Linked DNA regions of Arabidopsis thaliana. The protein of the gene in region 2 interacts with the protein of the main gene of each other region in a pairwise test. Each region holds a gene or a part of one and is shown on either strand. Other genes may lie near its edges. The genes, in order: OFP4, ETT and AT5G41650.

Region 1 (5,305 bases), on a different chromosome or scaffold from region 2:
AAGACACTTGGTCGATCCTACCCCTAGAACTCTGTTTTGTGAGTGATTGTTTGATTTCTCTACTCATATCTTTTATTTTAGTATTAGAAAACATATTTCTAACATTTTAATTATATAAGTTATAGTTATAACATTTAATTAATATTTCATTCTCAACGTACGTTACAAAGTTACAAAACTACATTTAAGAAATAGCATAATTAGTAAGAAGATCACAATACTAGCTTTCTTGCTACATGAAGTTAGGCTGCTACTCAGTTTCGGTCCTGTAAAATCAAGGTCCAAATACGAAAAAAAAATCTGAATCTTTTTAAAAAATTTAAACTTGCAAAAATCTTTTTTTTCTTCTCATAATTATGAAAATTATTTAAAGAGTTTTCAGAAAGTAAAAATAATATATCCGAGACATGCAATCCTATTAGACTTTGAAAGAGTTTTTTCAATGACATTGTATGATGTAAAAAATACTAACATAAACGATCACTACACACAAGAAAAAAAACTTTAAAAAATACACTAGAATTGGTGCACGGGAAAGGCCGATTGAAAATAATCTAGGCCCATTAAAGCGAAGCCCATTCTCAACCCTATATATTTGCGGGGTTGATATTTAATTTTATCTTTCAATCAGGGATTTCGAAACCGAACCGACTCTGCTTATCTCTCAGGTAAATTTCTCTGCTCCTTATCTCTTCATGTTTCTTTGCAAATTCATCGACTAATTGCATAGATAGCCTACAACTTATATATATATATATATTCTGAATTTGTTTTTTTCTTTTCTTACCTTTAAGGCCTTGAATGATGGAGGGAGGCAGCTGTGGCCACAATATCGGTCTATTGGGAGATAAAGGGGTGTCCGGTTCCGGATGGCTATGATGCTCTTCGGGTAGGTCCGTCTATAAAACGTAATTTGAGGAAGTTTAACTACACTGGCCCTATCACCATCACTGCCGTTGGCGTACTATCAGAGGTCCCTCGAGATTTCCTTGAAACCACTGGAGAGTGGAGTCAGTCTCTTTCTCAAGTCTTAGTTGTTTCTGAAACAGGTCCCACATACATGGTTTCGCTTTTCATTGACTCCCCTGATTCTAAGATTCCACGTCCACATAATACCTATGAAGACGACGAGGCTCCCCCTTGATTATTTTCCGGAGAAATAATGCCTACTACCATTGGTGAGGGAAGAAGCAACCAAACCTTGAGATTTCTCATCTTTTGAATTCTGGGGTTTACCGGAAATCTTGGTAAATAGAAATGTGAAATGTACCATCCTTTAATAATCTTTTCTTATTATCTTTTATTTCCGTGATTTAATGTAGTAAAATCAAGTTCCTGTCACTTGAAGTTGTACAACTTACAAAAAAAAAACAGAACACAGAGAAAGCTACTCTGTATCCAATGCTCTGTGTTATCATGCATATATTATAAAACCCATTTCAATGATCTTTAATCGTCATGGTCGCTTGGAAACAGGTCAGTGCAGAGCTCTCCATAGAATCTAGTCACAAGATCAATGAAGATTGGACTATTAAGATTCTTCCAATAATAGAGAAGCTCTTCCATGTCCATCAAGTCATCTATTTTCCCATCTTCAACGAACATATGGATCATATAGTTCTCGAATCTTCTGCAAGCCTCTTTCACACCATCTTCCTTTAACATATGTCTTTGACTCGTCCTCGCTTTCTTGTTCCTTTGCGTCATAGCCAAAGGAAACATCTTTCTTGAATGCAGAAGCTTGGAATCATCGATCAGACTAGCTGCAGTGGCATATTTGTAGAATAAAATTTAGATCAAAGGTACTCTATAAAATCGACAATAGTTACAAAAGAAATTGTTGTTACACGGGGAATTTCTGGGTCTGATCTGGCTCATCCTCTGCTCCTTATTAGTATTGAGAAAACAGAGACGAGACAACAAAGAAGATGATGAAGATTGTGTGGTATTGACATTGCGAAAACGAGCATGGAAGAAGGAGATGAATCTGTTGCATGATTTTGAAAGCTTTGATTTCAAGCTAATCAAACTTGACTTCAGTCTCATTCTCGATCCTTCCGAAGCTGATTTATTCTTTGTTGTTGTTGTTGTGGTATAATGTGTAGGTTTGGGAGGGTGGTTCGAGTTACGTGGGTTTCACGTCTTTTCCTTTGACACGAAGTCGTGATGGTGGAGTCCCATGAACTTGAGCCTTAATTTGAATGTTTTTTGCAAATTTAATTTTAAGCTATAATCTGACCTAGATATTGTCACATTATGAGTAGGAGGAGTGGGTAAATATATCGGTGTTTACTGGGATCAGTAGTAGTCGTTAGGGTTGTGACTGACCCCGCTCGTTTGTCGAACCCTAGCTTCAAATATGAGTCGTTGACCCAAAAAAAAAAAGCTTTGGTCAAACACACACGTGTGAGGTAGGGAGACCACAAGCTAATTGGTGAAAAGGAGACGACACGCCGAGTTTTATGCAAATATGTCTTTTATTATTCTCTACAGTTTCTTCTACACCATTATTGTTATATACTATGACTATGGCTATATTAAGAGATTGGACATGAACCTGAAATCTTGTTTAACCTCTTTTGTTGAAACCCTTTGTCACGTTCGCCGAATTATGTTTTGGAAGCAATTTACCAGAAATATTCTATTTAGTCTAATTGATACCCACCAATCGACCTACTACCGACAGACAATTTTTGAGGACACTTTGTTGCTCAATTTTCAAGTCTAATAAAACCTTTTAATTCTCAATCTCATCTACGTACACCTCAATTATTTCGATTACACCGGTTTAGATAGGATATTTTATTTAAATTTGATTTGATTTGGTTTAACTTGGTTATTCGGTTAGGGAGAGAAGCCGGAATGAGTTTGGTACAAACAAAGACATTCTATGAAGTGGATCCCAATTTTGTTCCGTCTTGTCCCTTTTACATCCCAATTCTACACTTTCTTCTCTCTTTTATTTGTCACATAGAAACTCTGCAAACTATACATATTTTTTTTCTCTCTTTTATCTGAGAAGATCACTTATTTTTTGAAATTAGAGATGAGGAACTATAAGTTAAGATTGTCAGTTATGAGCCCAAGTGAATGGTTCCACAAGCTCAAGAACATGACAAAACCTAGAAAAAAGCATTCTCTTCCTCTTTACTCCATAAACACTACCAAGAAGAGAAAACCTTCCTCTGAGTCAAAGTCTCTTCCTTACTCTTCAACTTCTTACTTCTTCAATAGGTCACGCTCACGCACATCCTTTGAATCTAGGATCCTTCAAATTTCACCAAGAAACTCTCTTCACAACATACAGAGCAAAAGAAAGACTGTTTACAAGCCTTCTCCTCCTTCCTCTTCTATTGTATCTGCAGGTTTTAACAAAACATTTCATCAAAGCCATGATTCTCTCTCTGCCTCTTCCAACTTGAAAGTCATTTCTTCTGAAGATGATATTATCATCGACATGAATAATAGAGATTTCAAGAAGAAAACTTTCAAAGAGATCACGAAGTTTGATTCAACGGAGAAAGCCTGTCGTGCAAGTAACCGAACCAAGGAAACACATATACCTCATCATCTCTCTGTGAAGGTCAGTAAAGAGAAAGAAGATGAAGAGGAAGATGCATGTCGAACCAAGAAGAAACATCAGAAAACATTAGTTTCTAGTGGAAGAAGATCATCAGCTAAATCTCCAAGGATAAAGCTCAGAGCGAGATCTCCTAGAATTCAAGTCTCGCCTCGTAGAAGCAAATCAAGATCACAGAACAAACAAATTCTTGACAGTTTTGCAGTAATCAAGAGTTCTATCGATCCGAGCAAGGATTTCAGAGAATCAATGGTGGAGATGATAGCAGAGAACAACATCAGAACCTCTAACGACATGGAGGATCTTCTAGTATGTTACCTTACCTTGAATCCCAAGGAGTATCATGATCTCATTATCAAGGTTTTCGTTCAAGTCTGGCTTGAAGTCATAAACTCTACATTTGCATCGAAGTAGAATGAACTATGATCAAAAGCTTTAAATCTCTGGTTAATTGTAGTTCTTTTAAAGAGTTTGATGTAGCCGTGGAGATTTTCTTTGCAAGACCAGTTTTTGTGTTGTCTGAATAACGTGATAAAGACATATAAATCACTCGCTTCCTTTTCGTCTCTGGTTATGGTTTGTGAAGGTAATAGAACATACTTATTCAGTAATTTAAAAATCAGTAACTAAAACATACTTATTCAATACATGCCTCATGGATGATAATAATTCAATTTTAGAATTAAAATGTGAAACAGTATGTGCTGCTAAATGTTTATGTGATATTTTCAGAAACAATATACAAATCCAAAGAGTTTTATTATATTAGTTTCATGTAGTGATAAACCTTGGATTAGATTAGGATTGATGGAGTTTAGTCATGGTAACGACTTATGTAACAAGAGCGAAAATGTCAAAAGAAAAAAAAAAGAGTCAAGAAAAGGCCAAAAGTGTAGTGACAAGAAGCCACACGGAGACAAGTCAGAAACCCATCAAGTACGGAGTAGAAATGGGTTCCAGTCCTAATGAGTAATGAAGCAGGAAACATGAAAATGGAGCCTGAATAACATAAATCGCTAGAGAGAGAAACTAACACTGACACAGAAGAGTATATGGTTAAAGAGGAAAAGCAGAGAGAGAGTTTTAAGAACCTAAAGGCTCTTTGTTGTCGTGATGAAGAAGATGAGGACCACTGTTTTGCTGCTGCTTCCCAATGCCCATCTCCTCTACCATCTATTTATACTGGTAGTACTTAGTACGGTATGGACAGACATTTCTTGGGAATTGATCAAACCACAAAACATAAACATTAAATGATGAAACACCAAACTCGATTTTGATATATAGTGCACGGGAAAGGCCGGTTTAATACAAACTGTAGGCCCATTAAAGCGAAGCCCCATTATCAACGCTATATATTTGAGGCGTTGTGATTCTTATTCTTCTCTTTCAAACAAGGATTTCGAAACCCTAATCGATATTGAGGTCAAGATTCAAACAACTCTGCTTATCTCTGAGGTAAATTTTTCGAAACCCTAATCGATATCGACTCATTGCGTAAATGAAACACCAAGACAGTAGAAAACGTAATAGAAAATAATATGAAACCGAAATGAACTGCTCGTCTACATTTGACTAAGGAACCTAGTTTACTTAACAAAACCATTCACTAGACAATCATCGTCGTACGCTATTCTATGGGTCTTAAAGACAAAAGGCTACAAAATGTTACCCAGTTTTTTTACAATACGTCATTGTTCAGCAGTTGTTGGTACTCGTCTACTC
Region 2 (7,991 bases):
AGTGATAGAATCATTTTTCCCCTAAAGTCAATAAAATTAACGTAGAAACTTTTCTTCAATTGTTTATAAACATTAATAGAAATGTGTTATTCGTTTCAAACTTGTCTTTAAAACTATGTGTCGCGCATGTTCAACTCCAAGTACAACACCGATCACATGTGTGTCATTCATAATCCTTTTTTGTTTCAAATGAAAAAATGAAAAGTAGCTTGTTGATACAACTTGATAGTATTTGATAGTTTTATAAATCACAATCTCAAAAATAAATATTGGGAGGAGGAAAAATTGTGTTGAACCCTCGAATGAATAAAAAAACGAAAGCGAAGCATTGAATGAAAGTGGGGCTAAGTTCTACTGCAAAGAGAGTGAGAGAGAGAGAAAAAAGTAGAAGAAGAAGAAGTAAGTGAACAGTGTCTGAAACGGGTAAAAAGAAGACCAAAGAAGAGCAAAGAGAGTGTGAAGAATACGCGCAATGGGAAGAGCGTGAGGCTCGAGAGACTTTCCAAAAGAAGATAGGAAACAGATGTCGGGGCATTAACCAATTGGGTATTTGGATTTGTAACCCGTTTTGTCCGGGTCCTGCCCCAATCTCTAAACCACTTTTGTTGTTGTTGTTGTTGTTGTTGTTGTTGTTGTGCCTCTCTCTTCTATAGCTGTATCTATCTACATCTACACTGTCTCGCGTGTTCATCAAAATTTAATAAGCAAAAACATATTTCTTTTTTATTTATAGAGAAAAAAAAAATTTGAAAGAAAGAAAGAAAAAAGTCCCCCCTGATCCTCGGGTTCTTTGTAATTTATGACACTCCCAATTTAAGACCTTCTTCTCACTTTTTCTCTATTTGTCCTTTTTTTTGCAGATTCTTTTTATCTTACATTTCTACCCTTGCATGTTTCTTGTATTTACTTGTACTTTCATTGTTCTCTTGTTTGCTACATTGTGCTTGTTGTTGAGATGAGATTCATTCTCACAACAATCGGCAATGAAAGAAAATGTTGGGTACTTTTCATGTTTGCTTTGGTTTGTGTTTAACTCTCTATACATATGTACAACAATGTTTTGTAGGAAAAAGAGAAGATATTCAAATTGTGGTTTGATAGTAAGTATTATTAGTAAAAGAAGTTGATTAGTATTTTTAGATTTAAAACGGTATAAGAATATCACTTAGCAGAGACAATAGATAAGATATTTGCATGTTTGATATATGAAGCTAAAAAGTAAAAGAAAAGAAAAACATTTCAAATCTCTCGTTTACTTTGATGCCGTTGGAAAAATCAACGTACACTGCACTTAAATTCAATATGTTACATAAATAGTCTTATTTATGAAAAGATTAAATTTATTATCAAGAGATTTAATGTACACAAACCATAGTTATATACAATAAAAAACATTTCCGAACTTTATTAGTATGTGGGAAAAAAATAAACTTATGAGTTGCGAAATATCTAACACAACTCAAGGATAAACATTGTAATTTCTTTCATATAGCATCATCACTAGTTCAAGTGTAAATCGATCTAATTTTGCATAGAACTGAAAGGAGTGAACAATGTACTAGGTAAAGAAGAACAATGTTTTTGTTTGCATGTGTATTAAGCTCTAATTTAATTCAAAGTGTGATATACTGATATGATTAGGCTAGTTCCTCATCTGGGTAGACATAATTATAAGAATTTTCGAAACCTCATCTTACCAAAAACATATATAATCTCTACCATTTGTTTCTCTCAATATGCCCTACCATTAATGGACCCTACTTTGTACTTATGCAATAATTCTTCCTGTTTTTACAATAGCCATTAGGTAGGTTTCTTTAGAAATTCGGATGACTTGTGTATCCATCAATTTATTCGCCGTTGATAACAGGTTCATGCACAAATTTCTTAAGATTGTTTCTTCTTGCCTTAACTTTATTTTTTTATCAAAAAAAATTAGATCTAGCTCACAAATCAAATTTGTCACAAGATACGAAGTTATTTGTTTCAAATTTAGTCCTCGTTAGTCATTTAATGTGGTTTTGTTATTTTGAATCGTTTGGTTAGAGGAAAATAAAATGTTATTTCAAATCAAATCCAAATTTGGACACATTGGCAACAAAATGTGTTAACTTTCACTTGATGATGGTATCAAGTCATTCCAACCATTGGTTTAAAAATGATGACAAATTTAGTAAGCAAATGTGTTTCTTCTTCATAAAAAAATACAACAAGAAGTGAGGAAGAAACAATGTGGTCGACTATGATTAATGTGATCTATTGGGAACAATGTGATTAGGCGATGATGAATAGGTCGTATTAAATCGTTTACTAAAATGATAGATCAATAACATTAGCACAAACCAATATATATATATATACTAATGCATGATCTTCTAAAATATTTTTAAAATCCATCTAACTAGTTCCGAATTCGAATAACAGCAATAAACACTGATTATTTATCACAAAGGTGTAATTTTAATCAGAAAAATATACAACCCTTTTCACCATATACTAAACTACTGAAAATCAAAGGCATGAAAGAAAACTATCCCCCAATGTACTTTAGAATATAACGGTAGTCCAAATCTTCGCCACAAAACACAAAACCACATGAACTAGTCATATAATAATGGATAAATGATTTAAACTATTTCACTAATAATGTGCATCAATCCCTAAAAGTATGCCACCAGTATTCTTTTATTTCTCCCACAATAATATCAATAAAAATGATTCAAAGACAAAGAGACAACAGAGACGAAATTATTCTTTTGTAGATCTTATTATATATAAATGATTAACTAAAAACCATATACTTGTAACAATAATTATTATATCAGTACTAAAATCCAATAGTATCAACATTGCAAAGAAACTGTTGTGTAAAAGATAATAATAATATAAAGAGAAAGCAAAGAAATCAATCTATTTCAAAAATCTAATCCCATCTAATGTCTCTCTCTCCACGCACAAAAGGTCTAAAAGCCACACCACACACATCAGTCACCAGACGTAGCAGAGAGCCTCACTGTTGCAGAGAGCACTCAGTACTGTTCTGTTTCTCTGATACCTCTCTCTCTCCTCTCTCTTTTAACATTGTCCAAATTAAAAATCTAAACTTTTTTTCTAGTTTTTTTTTTTTCTTTAATAGAAAAGTTTTTTTTCTCCACGGCTTAAAGACTCACTCATCACTGTGCTACTACTCTCTCTTCTTTTGGCTGAGAGGGTAAAAGTCATGAAGAAACTCCTCTGAGTTTTTTTTCTTTCTTTCTTATAATAAAGCTCTTATCTTTATCTCTGTTTCTCTCTCTTTAATGGGTGGTTTAATCGATCTGAACGTGATGGAGACGGAGGAAGACGAAACGCAAACGCAAACACCGTCTTCAGCTTCTGGGTCTGTCTCTCCTACTTCGTCTTCTTCAGCTTCTGTGTCTGTGGTGTCTTCGAATTCTGCTGGTGGAGGGGTTTGTTTGGAGCTGTGGCATGCTTGTGCTGGACCCCTTATCTCTCTACCAAAAAGAGGAAGCCTTGTGTTGTATTTCCCTCAGGGACATTTGGAACAAGCCCCCGATTTCTCCGCCGCGATTTACGGGCTCCCTCCTCACGTGTTCTGTCGTATTCTCGATGTTAAGCTTCACGTATGTAACTAACTCTCTCTTTCTTTCTATTTTTTGTTTTGTTTTGTTTTCTTCATTTATGTTTTCTCCTCTGCTCTCAAAGCAGAGAGATATGGGTTTTGTTCTGTTTTTCTGATTCTTTGATTTTTTTAATTGTTTGTTTGGTGAATCTGAGTTGGGTTTTCGATACAAGTATGGAGATTTGTGCCTTTGGTTTATTGAATTGTTTGAGACAAACGAATTTATGTTGGGAGAAAAGTTTCCTCTTTTGCTCCATTTGCATTTCTTCTCGTGGCATTTTGATGACGAATACTTGAAATCCCCATAAATTATCTTCAGTTTTTTCTTTGATGATAATGAATTTGATTTCAAAGTTTCGCCTTTTGCTCCATTTTGATGACAATTGATTTCAGAACAATTCAATTCTCTGTAAAGGTTTAAACTTTTTTTGTTGTTGTGAGGATTAATAAACAAAATGTGGGGGATTTTGATTTCGTAGGCAGAGACGACTACAGATGAAGTTTATGCTCAAGTCTCTCTTCTTCCTGAGTCAGAGGTGAGTTTTTCTTTAGGCTCTTGAGTTTTGTAACAAAGAGAGAGAAATTTGCTCGAGCTTAGGGGGTTTGAGTTGATTTGTTACAGGACATTGAGAGGAAGGTGCGTGAAGGAATTATAGATGTTGATGGTGGAGAGGAAGATTATGAAGTGCTTAAGAGGTCTAATACTCCTCACATGTTTTGCAAAACCCTTACTGCTTCTGATACAAGCACCCATGGTGGTTTCTCTGTTCCTCGCCGAGCTGCTGAGGATTGCTTCCCTCCTCTGGTACTAATCCACTCTCTGTAGATTCTGTAATCAGCTTTGTACATTGCACATTGTGTTCTAGAGTTCTCTTATTAGCTCATATTGAGAGATTTTAACTACATAATCATTTTGTTATGTAGGACTATAGCCAGCCCCGGCCTTCTCAGGAGCTTCTTGCTAGGGATCTTCATGGCCTGGAGTGGCGATTTCGCCACATTTATCGAGGTAAGTTTGTTGCCTTATGTTGCAATTTTTCTTGCCTGGATTTAGTAGATGGAAAATTTGAATGGTTTGAGTGACTTTTAGGGCAACCTAGGAGGCATTTGCTCACTACCGGGTGGAGTGCGTTTGTGAACAAGAAGAAGCTTGTCTCTGGTGATGCTGTGCTTTTCCTTAGGTAGTTAAAAATGCTTCTATGTTTTCTCACTACACAACCTCTTTGATTTTCTGTAAGAGGTTTTGTGATATATGGGTTTCTCTGATACAGAGGAGATGATGGCAAACTGCGACTGGGAGTTAGAAGAGCTTCTCAAATCGAAGGCACCGCTGCTCTCTCGGCTCAATATAATCAGAATATGAACCACAACAATTTCTCTGAAGTAGCTCATGCCATATCGACCCATAGCGTTTTCAGCATTTCCTACAACCCCAAGTAAGCCCCAACCACAATGACCTTTTTTCGTTTTCAGCATTTAAAATTTCATTTCAGAATCATAATTAGAATCTCCTGAAGCCTTAAGTTGTGTATTGTTCTAGTTGATTGTTCCTTAGAAGTTTGTTAACTCCAATAAATATCAGGAATTTAGCATTAATACTAGTTCACTGGTAAAACATTTTCAGGGCAAGCTGGTCAAACTTCATAATCCCTGCACCAAAGTTCTTGAAGGTTGTTGACTATCCCTTTTGCATTGGGATGAGATTTAAAGCGAGGGTTGAATCTGAAGATGCATCTGAGAGAAGGTTACTTATAGACTTATAATTCAAGCTTTAAGATAACCTTGCACACCTGTGTTTTATATGCCCAACTTTCTAACATGTTTCACCTGTTTTGTCAGATCCCCTGGGATTATAAGTGGTATCAGCGACTTGGATCCAATCAGGTGGCCTGGTTCAAAATGGAGATGCCTTTTGGTAAGCTATGAATTATGTTCTTAAGTCATTAGTTTGGTCTGAGAGGTCTTCTATAAGATTGTTGCCTTTTCTATATCCGTAAGCTCACTGCTCTGAAACTATGTTTTGACGTCATATTCAGGTAAGGTGGGACGACATTGTGGCAAATGGGCATCAACAGCGTGTCTCGCCATGGGAGATCGAACCATCTGGTTCCATCTCCAATTCAGGCAGCTTCGTAACAACTGGTCCCAAGAGAAGCAGGATTGGCTTTTCCTCAGGAAAGCCTGATATCCCTGTCTCTGGTACACATCTACTTAGCCAAAGACATTGTACCACTCATATAACCATTTATCGCCTGTAATATAACGTTTTCTGCTATTATTGCAGAGGGGATTCGCGCCACAGACTTTGAGGAATCATTGAGATTCCAGAGGGTCTTGCAAGGTCAAGAAATTTTTCCGGGTTTTATCAACACTTGTTCGGATGGTGGAGCCGGTGCCAGGAGAGGCCGCTTCAAAGGAACAGAATTTGGTGACTCTTATGGTTTCCATAAGGTCTTGCAAGGTCAAGAAACAGTTCCCGCCTACTCAATAACCGATCATCGGCAGCAGCACGGGTTGAGCCAGAGGAACATTTGGTGTGGGCCGTTCCAGAACTTTAGTACACGTATCCTCCCCCCATCTGTATCATCATCACCCTCTTCCGTCTTGCTTACCAACTCGAACAGTCCTAACGGACGTCTGGAAGACCATCACGGAGGTTCAGGCAGATGCAGGCTGTTTGGTTTCCCATTAACCGACGAAACCACAGCAGTTGCATCTGCGACGGCTGTCCCCTGCGTTGAAGGGAATTCCATGAAAGGTGCGTCAGCTGTTCAAAGCAATCATCATCATTCGCAAGGAAGGGACATCTATGCAATGAGAGACATGTTGCTAGACATTGCTCTCTAGAAGGGTTCTTTGGTTTCTGTGTTTTATTTGCTTGTGGCTTAAGTAAAGTTCTTATTTTAGTTGATGATGACTTGCTGCTAACTTTTGGAATGTCACAAGTTGTGACTTATGAGAGACTTGTAAACTTGGTTCAAGAATGTTCTGTGTTAGGTTCAATTTAAAAAGTGTTTGCATCAATTCCGGTTATTTGTGTTTGTACCAACCGGTTCAATTCGTAATTCTAATTTAACCGGAAGGAGTCCGATATCGTTATCTCTCTCTGTGCCACTCAAAGAAAACGTAATCCAAGCCAATGGAGGAGACGACATGGGGACAGAGAATACAAGCGGTGACACATATCCTCACAAACCCAACAACGAAACCATCACTTTACTCTCAATTCTTCATCGGAGCCATAATTCCAAACTACGTATCGTGGGATTACCCTCCGGTCTATTCGCCGACGCATCTCCGTCAATGGTGGGTTTCTCAGTTCTTCAAAAGGGTATCGAGATTTGGGCTGCCTGATACATCGTGGAGGTCGAATAGCCCGTATTATCAGCCACCGGCGGCGGTTATGGCTGTCGGAGTTGAGGAAGGGAAATGGGGGAAAGAGGAGAGGAGAGAGTATGCGAGGAAGAGGCTGAGGAGGAAGAGATTGGTGAATGAAGTGAATCCATATATTCCTCTTTTAGTTCCGAATTTGCTTTTGTTTACTCTCTTGTTATGGGATCCTCTTCCTGAGTAAATTTATGGTGGTGAATCTGTTACAGATTATCTGTAAGTTATTGAATTTGTTGTAAACAAGATCTGTGTGTTTTGTAATGAAGAAGACGAAGAGACATAGACTCAATACTCTCTCGTTTGGATTTAGTGTAATAAAAAAACCGGCCGTATCGAACCGGTAATATGTATGGTTTTTTATTTTGTTCGGTTTGGTTTCAAGGGACTTGGTTTGACTTGATCCGGTTTGGTTTCAAGGGTCTTCTATTCTTCCGTTTGGATGTAAGTAGCATCCATCATTCATAGGGTCACATTTATGAAACCCAACAAGTTTTTTGGGATTTGATTTCTTTGTCTTGCTTAAAACTTGAAAATGTTCAGTAGTGATGATTGTCAATTTGTTACAAACAAAAATAATAAAGGACTTTGAATAGTGGTAGTAGTACTAGTATCTTGAGCAGAATAGTATGTTGTAGACTGGTGCTATTTTATTGGAGGAATGGATTAATATTTCTTTTGGATTATATAGGATTAGCAATGGTGAAATCTTAAGGTTTGTAAAATATGGCAGAGAAATGGATGATATTGTAGGTTAGCTAATTAGCAGAACACTCAAATTTTAACGGAAAAATAATAGGTAATAATTAATCAAGTAAAAGAACTAAAATGATCTATGAGGATGATTACCAAGCGGGATTATAAAGACTAAAGAGTGTGGATGCATTTGGTGAAACTAGTGTTTGTGAGTGTTTCCTTTCTCTACTAAATAGAAATCTCACAGTCACAGAAAAAGGTTTAGATTCATATAAATGAAGTTCAT
Region 3 (4,917 bases), on a different chromosome or scaffold from region 2:
AAGCATGAAGTTAAAAGAAAACTTCACAGCCCTCCTCTCTTAGTTATTTATTCCATAAGAATAAGGATTATAAATTGAAAAGAATATAGTTAATCTCTAGAGTGTCGACGACTGTTTGAACTGGTATATTTGGATTACATGATACTACACATAAAAACTCTTTATCCCTTTCACTTGAGGAGATCATTTCTTGGTAGAACATAGACACTCTTGACCTTTTCCGTTTTTCAAAATCTCGCAATTACTTCGCTTTTCACTAGATCCTGCTTAAAACCTGATATACTATACGCCATGCATTGATCTTTTTCGACATGGTGTAAACTCGAATATGTTTTCTAACTTCTGTTTTCATATAGATTTTTGTTTACATTCAACCAAGTTTCATATAAAACGCTAGTTTTTAACCGATCAAGTGATTTTCGGATGGAACCACACCAGTATCTTCACCGTACTTTTCAAATCATTAACATCTATTTGGCCCGCAGAGATCAAACATGCATTCAGTGCGCAATTTTCAACAAATATATAACCTTTGTGAAGACTACCATTTAATACTTGTATTTTAGAGTGCTATCAAATTTAACTATCTCCAAAACTATTTTTACTGTCCCGAAAGTATTTGAGGAAATGTATAAATATACTAAGTTACACGATTTGACCACCTAGTATTTTGTCATATTTGAAAGGGGCGATTCCATTCTTGCATTGCATGTCGAAATTTCAAAGATTAATCAATGAAAGTTAATAGATTTTACTTGGAAAAGAATTTTAAATTGCAAAATATCTCTAAGTAATTAAGCACTAGATGAAAGTGCATTGGTAATGTCCAACATTTAGGATTCGGTGCATAATTTTTGTTGTATTTGTTTGTAACCAACTACAAACATAATGGTCCCCAATTTATCATAATCTTGACAAGATCTTTGAAAAATCAACCCACTTCATAAAAATCAATATAAACCATATGGAGGCATGGACTAAAGTAGTAATGCTCCAAAACTTGAGGGCAGTTTTGTAAAATGCTGACCTAACAACATTTAGTCAACCCTTCAACAACTACAAAAGCACTAAACAAAACTCCATTAAGTCCACTTCAATAGATCTTGTCAATTTCAAAGCATTGTGTAGAAATGAATCCGTCACTTTCAGGATATTATATATAATGAATGGAAAAAAATTGACTTGAGAAAAGCTTACTAGAGAAACAATGTGAAGAGCAAGTTAAACATGAACCAATATAAAGTATAATAGTGGCTTAGGTTTCTAAGAAGTATACAATAGCTTCAAAGAGATTATGGATATGATCTCTAAACAAATCTACTCTATGCATAATTGGCTTCCTTTCAGGCTTCAATTCTATTCATTTGCTCATGCAGCCTCATAAAGGCCTAACATGTAACCATCAGGGCATTTCATAGCCGCAACCTAGTAAAACAAAAAAACAACCGCAAAAATACTTCAAATCCCATTTCAGCAAGTAAGTATGAAATGAAACTTGAACATCTTCATAAGAAATTGTAACCTTTCCATGTATCTCATACTTGATAGTGCCATCTAATTCAGCTCCTAAAGCCATAAGTTTAGTCACTGTTGTATTAATGTCAGTGACTGTGAACGATAGAAGCGATGAGTATCCCTTCTCAGCAACATGATTGCTGCGGAAAAAAGAAAGTCTTTGAGAGGTCTTCTCAGCGATAAACAGTGTAACACAAAAGTCCAAATCCGGAAGTTATTTTAAGGGAATAAACTCAGAAAGTTTTCATTGAGGCAAATGATCAAACAGGTTGTGTGCTTTGAGCAATAATGGAACAAAAGAGGAGATAAAACCTAGGAGATTGCATAAGAGCTAGCTTGATAGGACCAGAATGGAGCTCAGCCCAGCGTAAAGTGACGACATTGACGGAAAAGTCGAGACCTTGAGCATAGAATCGAGCAGCTTTTGGTACGTCTCTGTGAAGCTGCAGAATCCACCTAAACGACGCCGTCGCCATCTCTCTCTAGACGAAGACGAACGAGTGTAAAATAAAACACAATACAAAAAAAAGATTGGCCATTTGACCCAAAAAACAAAAACAAAAACAAAAAAAAGATTGGCCCAATACACATTATTGGGCTTCTTTCGGGCTCACCTCTAAATGGTACCGTGTCGCACTCTCTGCAATATAAACCAGATATGAGATAGCTATTGGTTTATTTGAAAAAAAGGAAAGAGAATTTTTGGGTTGTTAAGGCCCAAATAAAACCCATAAATCAGTGGACTGGATTAGATAATAGAGTGGACAATCCTAAATTGATTGTGTGGAACAAAAGCATGAGCCGCTTGGTTCAGACGATGTTGTTATGGCTCAAAAGCGAAAAGGTAAAACACAAAGGGATGAATTTGGGGACGTAATCTAATAAAATTGACCATAATTCTTAAACTTCTAGGGTTCCTTATTTCGGAACGACACATATACACAAGCTTTATGAGGGAGAGGACGATGTCGCTGCCAATTGAAACAAAGAGGCTTTGAATAATAATTTTCGTCATAAGTCAAAATTTTACGAAATGAGTGAAGAAATACAAGGTAATCTTCTTAGCTTCTTATATAATTAAGAGATTTGTTTTTAAATCGGTTACCAGATAGAGATTAATGATAACTTAAATGAATATCTTAGGGGTTCGATACTACAGAAGCGAGTGATGGTCCTGAACTTCAAAAATCCATCTGTGATAAAAGGTGGTCACCTTGTTGTACCTTAGTCCGCCTTTATGCTAGGATGGGTCTTCATCGTTACAATTTGTTGAAGGTAATTCTAAGTCAATACTCTTCTTCTCGATCTCTTTTTTGTTTGTCAATTGTTGTATTGCACCACAATTCATTTTTTTTTGTTTGATCATCATGGGAAGAATTTACAGCTTAGTCGTGTAAAGAAATACAATATGAGTACGCATTATGCTGCTTGTAATTACTACATAACTTTGGTTGCTATGGATCCAGCTCGCAGCAAACTTTTGAATTTTCAAACTAAAGTTGATGAAGAACGTTTTGGCAAGTTTATTTTGAAATTCCCTATTGCTAGACCTCGAGGAAAAATCACTTAGGATGGAGCTTTGATAACTGAATGCTATTTCTACGTCAAAGGTGATTTGCTTAAGTGTCCCTCGGAGGATATTTTCGAAAATAGAAAGCGATTTTACGTGGTGGAGGAATCAAAGCTGCAAGTCAATGACTGGATTCTTCTATATTTGGAAGTTGCAGTTGCCACAACTCATAGGAGCAATGGTAAATATCATGATCTCTCCGACTTGAAAATTTTTGAAAGTAGTGAAGATGTGGAGCCACCTAATGAGGTATCACTCAATGTCATTAATGTGATTGTCTACATAGTGTACAAGGACTTTTATGAGTCTCGGTTGGTAAGGATGTTGATCGCAAAGCTATTGTTAAACGAAGCTTCAATGAGCATAATGGACGCTTCATTGTCGAGGGTCGAAATAAGGTTATCAAATCCGATTTGGGTCTGGTCCGACATTTACGAGTGTCCTACGCAAAAACTTAATGACATGTCCTTTTCATATATTCCAGAAACATACTTAGTAATAAAAATAAAATCTACTAAGTACTAACCTTTAAATAACGGTTTAAAAATTCTAAAACAATGGAAAAGAACTACAAAAAAATGTTGCTTTGACAATATTTTAACAGCAAGCCAAAGCAAAAAGTATGATAGCAAGTGTTTTGTGTTCGTGAATATAAAATGTTAAAATTAGATTATATGAAATTGTGTGATTATTGTTTAACACAAATCAAAGCCAACATGTTGGATGAAGATGTTTGTTTTCATAGTTTAACAAAGCTAAGTAGCTAAAGAAAAAGTCGCTAACGATCTAGCGATTTAAAATTTCAAATTTAACTAATCATTGCATTTGCAACTTTTTTTCTTCTTTTCAAATTTCCAAATAAAAAAGTAAAACAACAACAAATTGAAATTCAAAACTAATAATTAACCTCAAAATCTTTGTTTTATTCATATATGGCCACAATTTTTTAAAAACCCTAAACATATATGAAAGTTTAACATAGTTTTTTACTAGAAAAGGCCCTCAAAATTTGAGACCTTTATCACTTGCTTATGTTCCTTGGCATCTGGGCCAAGCCTGAGCCAGGTGGCGCATGGTGTTGACTAATCCAAAATAAGATAGATTCTGCTCAAATGAGATTATTTAGATAAAATTTGAAATAGCTAATTGATGAGCTTTATTGGAATGTAAAGAACAGAGAAAGGTGAAAGCTTGAGACTTTTCTTTAAGGGAAAAATAGATTTCGATTATGTTTCATTAAAGGTTGAATGTGGCTGCTCAAAGAAGCAACCTTGGTTACATTCATACATGACTTACATCATATATATATGAGACCTCTTACTACAAAACCTCATAACATGTGCTTAGATGGGCTTCCCTAGTGTTAATATATTAGGCTTCTTTGTGGCATCTTATATATTGCATACAAAAGCTAAGATTAGATCAGTGTTAGGTAAAAACAATGCTCGAGAATGGTTTATAACCTTTGACGTACAAATAAATTTTATGCTCATAATGCTTAATTTATAGCAACGTTAACTCATTATCATCAACAAAAGCTGTGATCCTATTTCAAGAAGAGAACAGTAAGCAAGTGCTAATTTTATTCAACATTATATAGCGAAAAGAGAGACAAATACAAGATGAGATTATAAGAAAAAAATGGAGAAAACATTAATTACACACAAGTCATTAAGGGAAGTAAAACAAGAGTTTAGATGATCTAAAACCAAAACAAGAAAAGAAAAGAGCCATAAAAGATAATCATAGGATTGAGTTTAGATCATTTTAGAAACTACACAAACCTTGTAGCCTGAGAAAAATGATGATCTTCTAATGACAATGACTCCATT

Evidence for each region.
Region 1: the proteins of ETT (region 2) and OFP4 interact in a two-hybrid assay, tested with the Arabidopsis thaliana proteins (one large-scale study listed by BioGRID).
Region 3: the proteins of ETT (region 2) and AT5G41650 interact in a two-hybrid assay, tested with the Arabidopsis thaliana proteins (one large-scale study listed by BioGRID).

The regions. Positions count from the first base shown.
Region 1 is NC_003070.9:2,123,543-2,128,847, reverse strand, and holds OFP4 (ovate family protein 4), read left to right. Parts: upstream 1-2,945; 5' UTR 2,946-3,046; coding exon 3,047-3,994; 3' UTR 3,995-4,172; downstream 4,173-5,305. Other genes in the region: AT1G06925 (endonuclease/glycosyl hydrolase), read left to right, coding at 237-268, 632-697, 811-1,144; AT1G06923 (transcription repressor OFP17-like protein), read right to left, coding at 1,450-1,763, 1,848-2,046.
Region 2 is NC_003071.7:14,323,922-14,331,912, reverse strand, and holds ETT (Transcriptional factor B3 family protein / auxin-responsive factor AUX/IAA-like protein), read left to right. Parts: upstream 1-2,934; 5' UTR 2,935-3,299; coding exon 3,300-3,623; intron 3,624-3,656; exon of another isoform or gene 3,657-4,101; coding exon 4,102-4,158; intron 4,159-4,244; coding exon 4,245-4,427; intron 4,428-4,546; coding exon 4,547-4,631; intron 4,632-4,712; coding exon 4,713-4,803; intron 4,804-4,893; coding exon 4,894-5,058; intron 5,059-5,246; coding exon 5,247-5,366; intron 5,367-5,461; coding exon 5,462-5,537; intron 5,538-5,658; coding exon 5,659-5,821; intron 5,822-5,906; coding exon 5,907-6,469; 3' UTR 6,470-6,707; downstream 6,708-7,991. Other genes in the region: AT2G33855 (uncharacterized protein), read left to right, coding at 6,762-7,196. UniProt on the Arabidopsis thaliana protein: Auxin response factors (ARFs) are transcriptional factors that bind specifically to the DNA sequence 5'-TGTCTC-3' found in the auxin-responsive promoter elements (AuxREs). Could act as transcriptional activator or repressor.
Region 3 is NC_003076.8:16,652,030-16,656,946, reverse strand, and holds AT5G41650 (Lactoylglutathione lyase / glyoxalase I family protein), read right to left. Parts: upstream 2,035-4,917; 5' UTR 1,992-2,034; coding exon 1,828-1,991; intron 1,656-1,827; coding exon 1,523-1,655; intron 1,426-1,522; coding exon 1,369-1,425; 3' UTR 1,087-1,368; downstream 1-1,086. Other genes in the region: AT5G41640 (hypothetical protein (DUF626)), read left to right, coding at 2,312-2,359, 2,659-2,790, 2,900-2,945, 3,243-3,610.